Linked DNA regions of Caenorhabditis elegans. The gene in region 1 interacts genetically with each later gene. Each region holds a gene or a part of one and is shown in the gene's direction. Other genes may lie near its edges.

The links.
Region 2: of arf-5 (region 1) and ksr-1, changing one enhances a phenotype caused by changing the other (phenotypic enhancement), as found in Caenorhabditis elegans (one large-scale study listed by BioGRID).

What each region holds. Positions count from the first base shown.
Region 1 is NC_003282.8:7,980,472-7,984,563, forward strand, and holds arf-5 (ADP-ribosylation factor), read left to right. Parts: upstream 1-2,054; 5' UTR 2,055-2,073; coding exon 2,074-2,124; intron 2,125-2,174; coding exon 2,175-2,271; intron 2,272-2,398; coding exon 2,399-2,523; intron 2,524-2,571; coding exon 2,572-2,754; intron 2,755-2,916; coding exon 2,917-3,003; 3' UTR 3,004-3,381; downstream 3,382-4,092. Other genes in the region: unc-24 (Band 7 domain-containing protein), read left to right, coding at 300-395, 451-600, 647-811, 857-1,477; mec-17 (Alpha-tubulin N-acetyltransferase 1), read right to left, coding at 3,543-3,772, 3,846-4,092.
Region 2 is NC_003284.9:8,272,908-8,278,177, forward strand, and holds the start of ksr-1 (Kinase suppressor of Ras A), read left to right. Parts: upstream 1-2,261; 5' UTR 2,262-2,311; coding exon 2,312-2,417; intron 2,418-2,459; coding exon 2,460-2,530; intron 2,531-3,171; coding exon 3,172-3,348; intron 3,349-4,502; coding exon 4,503-4,593; intron 4,594-5,270. UniProt on the Caenorhabditis elegans protein: Serine/threonine-protein kinase which positively regulates Ras-mediated signaling probably acting at the level of let-60/ras or/and lin-45/raf. Involved in sex myoblast migration.

The sequences.
Region 1 (4,092 bases):
AACTTTGAATTGGTTTTTTTGAAATATTTTTATTTTCAGTAAATAAAAAAGTTGAAATTACTCGGTTGTTGAAATTCGCCAAAAAATGTTCTACAATTACTATGATTTTTTTCCATCTGAGCATTGTAGGCATTTGAACAAGCAACAGTACTCTAAATTTCTTAAAAAGCATACATTTTTTGCAGATTTTGGCAAAATAGAAACCTTAACAAAAATGGAAATATCTAAACTAATTGAAACACACACGAGACAATTTAATTAAAATATACTTATGATATCTTAAACATGTTTTTTTTCAGATAAAACCCCTGAGCGCCATTGAACTGTTGATCTTCTGTGTTTCATTTTTGTTTGTTGTGATGACAATGCCCTTATCATTGCTTTTCGCGTTAAAGGTAGTAATTATAATTTTCTAGAGAACCGTTTCTCAAAATTTGCTTAATTTTTCAGTTCATCTCTACCAGTGAGAAATTGGTAGTTTTACGCCTGGGAAGAGCTCAGAAGACAAGAGGACCTGGTATAACTTTAGTTATTCCATGTATAGATACAACACATAAAGTAACAATGTCTATTACTGCGTTCAATGTCCCACCACTCCAGGTTAGCCTTGACAATATTTTGTCTAAAAAAAAATTTTAATTTACAGATAATAACCACAGATCGTGGTCTCGTGGAACTCGGGGCAACTGTTTTTCTAAAAATTAGAGATCCAATTGCAGCTGTTTGTGGAGTTCAAGATAGAAATGCATCAGTTCGAACATTGGCAAATACAATGCTATACAGATATATCAGCAAGAAACGGATCTGTGATGTAACCAGCTCACAAGATCGAAGAATAATTTCTGCTAATTTGAAGGATGAGCTGGGATCATTTACGTGTCAATTCGGAGTTGAAATCACTGACGTGGAAATTTCCGATGTGAAAATTGTGAAGGAAGGAGAGAACATGGGGATGTCTGCGTTGAGCAGCGTTGCGAAATCCGATGCTGGTCAACAGTTGTGGCAAGTTATTGGACCAGTATTCGAAGACTTTGCAAAGGAATGTGCAGCTGAAGAGAAAGCAAAAGAAAATGCACCATTAGTTGATTTGTCGGATGTTCCCTCAACTTCAGCTGCGGGAACTTCTACAGATACACCAAATATTCCTTCCATTGATATCGACCATCTTATATCTGTGGCAAGCCTAGCTATGGATGAACACTTAGTCCGTCTAATTGGCAGAGTTTTCCAAATTAATTGCAAAGATATTGAGCCCATTTGCATTGATTTGAAACATGGATCTGGAAGTGCGTATAAAGGAACTTCCTTAAATCCTGACGTGGTTTTTGAAACGAGTTTGGAAGTATTTGGAAAAATTCTAACAAAGGAAGTATCTCCAGTCACTGTATATATGAACGGAAACTTAAAAGTGAAAGGAAGTATTCAGGACGCAATGCAGCTAAAACACTTGGTGGAGCGAATGTCAGATTGGCTTTAAGAAAATATACTCATTTTCTGTTCTCTTTTTTCTCTTTAATAAATGTTTTTTTTTTAATTTAAAGATTTACACTATATTTTCTTGTCTTTCAGATATTATTTTGTACAGGAATGTTTTGTTTTTAAAGTAATATTATCTAAAATACATCCAGTCACTTAAAATTGTACAAAACAGGCTTTTGTGCGACGAATAAGCGGCCAAATCGAGAGATCTCATCGAGAAATAAATGCATTCTTCAAGGGAGGGCGCGTTTTCTGGCTGACGGGTCTCGCCACGATCGACTAATCGAAATTACACGTGTGTGGCTGGCTGGACGACATCCAGCAAATCGACGTTGCTATTGCCGATTTTTACCAAATTTTCTGGATTTTCATCATTATTAATAAATTTTCAAAATATTTAATGTTTGAAATGGATATATTTCTTGTAAAAAAGCTTTAAAATGGCTATAAAGACGAACAAAATAATTGTTTTTTGAATGAACGTGTCACATGCTTTGGAGTGTTATGTATTTTTCTTTTACTATCGTTTTTTTTAAATTCTAACTGGAAATTTGTTTTAAATTATATAATTTCAGGTGTTGAATCAGCTCCATTATGGGTTTAACAATCTCCTCCCTCTTCAATCGCCTTTTTGGCAAGAGACAGGTATGTTTTTGTAATGCTTAATCTCACAGTTTTAATGTGTTAATTTTAAGGTTCGTATATTGATGGTCGGACTCGATGCTGCCGGAAAAACTACGATCCTCTACAAACTCAAGCTTGGAGAGATCGTCACCACGATCCCAACTATCGGTAAGTATTTCAGGAAAATATTTGCATTTTTCGAATCAATGGTTATTGCAAAAGAGTCGCAAGTTCTATAATATGTGTGTTTTTCAGTATTTCATAATTCGTAAAAATTAATAATCTGATATTACAGGATTCAATGTTGAAACTGTTGAATACAAGAACATTTCCTTCACTGTGTGGGATGTCGGAGGTCAGGACAAGATCCGTCCACTCTGGAGGCACTATTTCCAAAACACACAAGGACTTATCTTCGTCGTAAGTATTCGAATCGATTTATAAATCTAAAATATTTTAAAAATTAAGGTTGACTCGAACGACAAGGAGCGTATTGAAGAATCACGTGAAGAGCTACATAAGATGCTGAACGAGGACGAACTTCGTGACGCTACTCTTCTCGTTTTCGCCAACAAGCAGGATCTTCCAAATGCTATGACCGCCGCCGAATTGACCGACAAGCTTGGACTTCACAATCTCCGCTCAAGACAGGTGAGTGGTATTCGAGATTCCGTTCTCTGTTTAGTCTTATCTGCATAGACGATCAAAATTTGAAACCGGACAAGCGTATTAATCTGATCGAATAAAAGATTGTCCACTCACGGAATAAATAAAATTGTTTCCAAATTTATAATGTAAATGAAAAATTTTCAGTGGTACATCCAAGCTACATGTGCAACTCAAGGACATGGACTCTACGAAGGACTTGACTGGCTATCCAACCAGCTTTCCAAGACCTAATTGCACAACTTACATGTCCAAATTCCCTTCTCCTCCAAAATGTGTAAATCCCTTTCCCCCATTAAAATATTCTTAACCAACAGCCACAATAATCCACGCAGCCGTTTTAATTTTGTTAAATAGAATTTGATTGTTTGATGGCACTGGGAGCTTCTATTTTCTGTGTGTTATTGGTACCCATCTCTCTCTCTCTCTCCGTCCCCCCAACTTCAAATCGGCCCGAGCCCTGTCCTAATTTATGTGATATTTGGCCGTCTTTTTTGGTCAAACTCTCCGAAACCACCACTGTGAACTAGTCGGAGAGCAATCGATGGCTGGTCCACTTCATCGCAACAGTTTAATTTATTTGAGGGTGTTGATGAATAATATTTTATAAAAACATGTAAGTGTGGTGGATGTTCATTTTTATTTATCGGAAAGAACGCTAAGTTTAATAAATTTCGAATTCCAAAAAAAGCATGAGAGCGAGATTAAACAGATGGCACAAAATTGCATAAAGTAATTAAAAGCTGAAAATAACTTCAATGTCCACATCCGAATCACCACAATGGCTTGCTCGACAGAATGTGAGCTTTTCTTGCCTTGGCCTGATGAGCTCTATTGCTCAAAGCACCTTGTGGTGTCATGTCAGCATCCACCGGAGCAGCCATTGCATTTCCCTTGCTCTGATGACCACTAACAGCGTGTTGAAGCCAACGGGTATCAGTCATTCCAGTTCCCAATCGACGTGGAGTCATTGGACGACGCCAACCATCTGGTGGAGGTTTTTCTGAAACGTCCAATAGTTTAATTTCAGTGAAGTTAGAATTTTTGTGGTCAAAATACTATTCTACTAAAATTACCGATTCCATTTTCAGCCGACAAAGCTAGGAAGAGCTCCTCGAAAACAACGAAATTGGTATTCTGCCATACAGGCTTGATAAGTCCGTACTTTTGTGACATAAAACCAAGAAGAGTGACTGATGGATTATCAAGAGCCAATTGATAAGGTTCAGTGTGTTCCTGAGAGAACATGTAATCTAGAATTTGTTGTCCAACTCCTTGGCGTTGACATGAGAAGTGAACATAAAAGTCCAGAAGACACAGAAT
Region 2 (5,270 bases), on another chromosome or scaffold:
TATTAGTTGTATATTTTGTGTTTTCTTTTTTTCTATTAGTGTTCCGCTCAATTACTTTATTTTGACAAGTTATGTCTTGAATCGATTTCTAGTTTTCCGAAAATGGACAATTAAAAGTATGTAGATAAAGATACTGTACATTTTTGTTTGATAACAATTTTCCATAAAATTAAAAAATAAACAAGCTATGGGTTTCCAAATGTAAACAGACTGAGACAATACTAATAGAGAAAACAGGAGAATTTTAGTAAATGTCCATTCGAAAAACCGAAATTGGTTGCCTGTCAATGCACATCCAAATTCACGTCTTTTATCATAAAATTTGTAATAAAGGACTAAAATCAATGAATAGTGATAGTTCAACAAAAAATGTTTGTTGTCCGCTGCGACGCGTATAAATTTGTAAACTTTAAATTTTTCTGCTAAATACAATCGGTTTTCATTTTAAACAGCATTTTTTGAGAAGTCTCTTTTTAAAACACAGTCTAAACATTTTGGTCCATTAGTCGTCTTTTAAAACGTAATTGCTATTACTTCAGTACTTATATTTTACCCTAATTTTTGGCTAACTTTACCATAGTTTTTGGCACGTTCAACAAACTACCCATAATTACTTTCAAAATTTTCATCGAGCAGGAACAACATTTTTAATGTTGACTTTGCCGAGATGTTACACTAAATTAGTTGTGATCTGCCAGCAAACCAGGAACTAAAAGCTTGTTCAATGCATTCCTGGTATGAATCTTGACCTACTCTTAAGTTGATTACGCAACATTTTGAACACCTGTTGTGGTCTTCTCATTGCGGACCATTTTCTCTCACCCCATAGACATACAGTCTCCTCTCTCTCTTATTCATACACTATTCCCCCCATCCTCCCGTCTTCCCGACATTTTTGCGTCCTTTCCTACTATTCCTACTGTCAATCCACACCGTTCTCCCCTTTTCTCTTCATCACGTTCAAACAGTTTGTTTGCTTGCACGCCGATCTTTCTTCCTCTTTCTCTTTCCACAACTCTCAGCATTCTAGCATTATTTTCTCCAATATATTGAACAGTATTTGAATGCAACGTTTCTTTTAACTTCCGACCAAAGCCTTATGGCAATTTTTTCTCACAACTACTCTTTTCGGTCGGCATTGCTTAATTTTTAAGCGCCATACTGTTGTTCGGTATTTCATGTGAAAGCGAAAAATTAAAAAAGAAAGAAAAGTTAAGCTTCCTAATTTTTGTATTTGTGGTAGTTTTAATACGCAAAGCTAGGAAAATGTAAAACTCAAATTGATAAACTATAATTACTTAGGAGTGATGATAAAGGATAATCGATTTTTTAAGTGAAATAGTTGAATATTTCTACTCAATAAAAAAACACATTTAATATTGGTAGAGTACAATTATTGGATTTGGAACAGTATTCTAATTAAAGAAACAAAAGAAGCCAAAATAAAAGTAGAATGCCATTGAAAAAAATCGGGACATTGTGATGTAATAAGTCTAATCTAACCACCGGAAAAGAAAATGTGGTCGAAAATACCAATTCTTCTTTTCTTCTCGTCACTTCTAAATTGAGTAATGTACATAACCTGTCTCATAATTGTTCGCCACGCAACCTTCACAATTTCGATGGCAGAAAGCCGCCGAAAGCTTTTAATTTACTTTCCGGACGATTTCGACTTTTCTAGAAGGTTAATACACACCTTTTTTGAGTAGATGATGTTGTAATAGTAAACAAACTGTAAGCATACTTATATTGGTCATCGCAATTTGACTTTGAATTGTAAACATCCAATTGTGATGGAATTTGTAGGAAGAAAATATTGTAGATTTTACTAACTCATGAATTGAAATTTCTGACTGTACTGTGGGGCATACACATATTTTCTCTAATTGTCTTGCTCCCTTACAGTACGAATGCAAACCATACTAACAGAAAAAACTCGGCACTTTTCAATATTACTTGCTCGTTTGCTTTTCTAGTCATTTAACGCCTTTCTAAAGCACCAAATACATTCGTATTGCCCTGCTCCCACTACCACACATACATAAACGAAGGATGAGCTCACAGGGAGCCATTTGATAATTGCGACGACACACACACATACACAAAATGAGAAACCAAGCAAAAAAGAGTGTGGCGCACGTGTGAGCTCACAGCGTGCTCCGTTTGCACCGGGGATTTCCAAAAGTTGACCAAAAACCAGCACTGTTTTTTCTTGGCAACCTTTTGAACGTTGTGCTCAACCAACGAAAGATTTATTTCAGGGAAAAGATCCGGAGAAGGTAAAAACTAACCAATAATATCAATACACAGAATGATGCAAACCCAAGTTGCATCACGTGCGGGATACAGTAATCTACCGCAGTTTGGTGCAGGAATCGCACAGGATATAAAGACACAGGCTATAAATAATTTGAAGGGTTAGTAAAAAAAATTTAAAAAAAAACAATTCGAAGTTGCAGAATGTTTGAAACTTACCACTATCAATCGATTTTTGACTTCATCATACGAAGAAGATGCAAAAAGTGTAGAAGTAAGTTTTTTTGAAAAAAAAACAACTTTTGTAAAAATTCAAACTTCTCCTATTCGTGAGCATCGTTGTTTTATAAACTGTAAATAAATGAATTCAAGACAGACTAGTCTTCATTCAGCAGAAAAAATTTTTAAGATGCTTTAAAGTTTTGTTCATAAAATACACTATACATATATTGACACCTCAGTCCAAATTGTTTTAGATCTTTGTGGTAAACCAATCTGTGGTACTAAACGTTTTTCTAGACGTTTTCCGTTTATACTGTAAAGTTTATTTGTATAATTAAATTCTATAATGGTATTTTGATAATAAATTTAAAAAATTAAAAATTTAGATGCACAACTTCGTGCATGAAACGCTAATCGTTATATTTGAAAAACTGAAACTTACTTTCAAACAAATGTTGATTTTCAAATGTTTTAAATTTAGTGAGTTTATGATATTTTGAATATGAAAAAATATCAAAATATCAAAGCTTTTAAAAAATAGATTTAAAAACTTTAAGTGAATGTAACTCTTTTTTTCTACGAATTTTAGTAATCAAGATATCAGAGACAGATGAAAAGGTGAAACAACCTGAAACAAATGGTCTGAAATCTTTCATTGACGTCAACTAAATTCCAATGATTCTCAATTTACAGCGCAAAATATTCTCGGCCGTTTATCAAATGACAAAAATTGGTTTGATTGATCGCGAGAAGCGTGAGATCAACGCCATTTGGTTCACATTTGTCGGGCTCAGCGCACAAAACATTCGGCACTTGGAGATTTGCTCGATCACCGATTTCAATGCTCTGTTCAGCATCACTAACCAAGAGGTTTGATCCTTCTCTTTTTTGCTCTACCTTTTCTCTCTTTTCTCACACATCATTTCCTGATTTTACACCTAACAGAAACATACAAACACTCACAAATCGGGTTCTAGGCATATCTATATCCTTCTAAATGTCTTTCTGCTGATTCGGGTCACAACCTTCAACATTATCGTTTTATTCTTAAACTTCTTTTCATTTCCCTCTACGCTTCCCATTGGTTTGGGGTGTTTGGGAGTGCGCTTTGACGCTCTTTCCCTCTCGTTTTTCCGTTTCTGTTTCCGTCTCTTCTTTCTTTCTTTTCACCTTCTACTTTCTGCATTTCTCTCCTTTCCTTTCCCACTCTTCTCTTTCTCTAGAGGCCAGAAAACTGCAGCTCTCTCCGTTTTTTTCCTGATTTTTGTGAGCTAATTTGTTATCCAAAAAAAGAAGAGTAAACAGAAAAAGAGGATTAGGTTAATTGTTACCTATTGATATTCTGCTCATTGTTGTTTTTTAAGACTCACGAACTTTCTCTCAGCTAGCACATGCATAAGTCATGTATCTGACTGATTTTTATCATCTCATTTCGTAATTGTTTGAATTTGAGTTTCGACTTTTCATTTAGTCATTTTGCAGCAGGAAGTGTTTTTCGAAATGAAATTTGTCTTACTTTTATCTGACAAATCAACTAGTTTGGTAATTTTTCAGATTTAAAAATTTCCTTTTTTTCATTGAAGATTTTTTTAAAACTTGATTTGTCAAATTTTTTAAGATAACTTTACCATTTAATTTACAACAACATTGAACAAATCAATTGTTAAATTTGAATTCGAAACAAAACTTGAAAACTTCAAGTGGCCTTTCATATGATAATTGGCCAAAATATTAGAGTTGATTTTGAATGAATGTTTTTTGTGAGAACAACTATGCTGAAGCATTTCTGGAACATTCATTGTTTTTAGCGATCCAAAGCATACACGTTTTTGTTTTTTTGCATTGCCTCCGTATACTCGGTAACGTCATTCGTGTTCCAACAACACCTGTTACATTTCTACGAGTTGTTTTCACTCTTGTCTGCATGTTATCAAACTTCTATTGCTCGTTTCATTACTTTTAACCGAGTTTCTCTGTGCTCCGCCTTCTGAACATTTGAACCCAAACATAAAAGTTTATTTCAGTTGCGATCGCTTGCGGATCGTGGTCGTCTTGATGTGGAGACCAAACGAAAGTTGCTTCAATCTACAGTGATTTTACAAAATCACTGGAACGGTAAGTGTGCGGCAATTTGAAAATTTGTATTAAGTAAAATGTAGAAGAAAATAATTCTTGCCACGAAAATTTTGCAACTGTTATTTTTTGAAAATGTTCTCAAAATTCCTTACTTTTCTAGTTATTTTCATAAAAATTTATAGTCTCAAAACCAGTAATTTGACATTTTTTAATCAAACTTTAAAATTTAACTTTAATCAATCCCGAGATGGTAACTGCAAAATTAAAAAAAAACAAGACGGTTTTTATTAAAACAATTTTGAAGCATATTTTATACTGAGTTTGCTCCACTTCTTGAAAATTTAAATCACTGTCAAATGTTCAAACCCCATACATTTTAAAATTTGAATATTTTGAATGTAATTGAAATAAAAAATGGAAAATTTTATGATGGAGGACTTCCGCAAAAACTGGTGACCATTTAGTATTGAGCTTTTTGATTTTAAATAAAAAAAACTTTCCAAAGTTTTTGGAATAATTTTATTATGGTATATTTGATTATTTTTGTACCATAGGAATGGTTTTGAAAAACTTCCCCCGCAGATCGGAGTCCGCCTTCAAACGTCGTTTTCGGTTTATTTGTTAATTTTAGAATTAATACTTTAAGCAGCCTGAGAATTAAAAAATCAACCTTATTCTTTTATTCAAATTAAAATTTTTAAAATGTAGTGTAATGA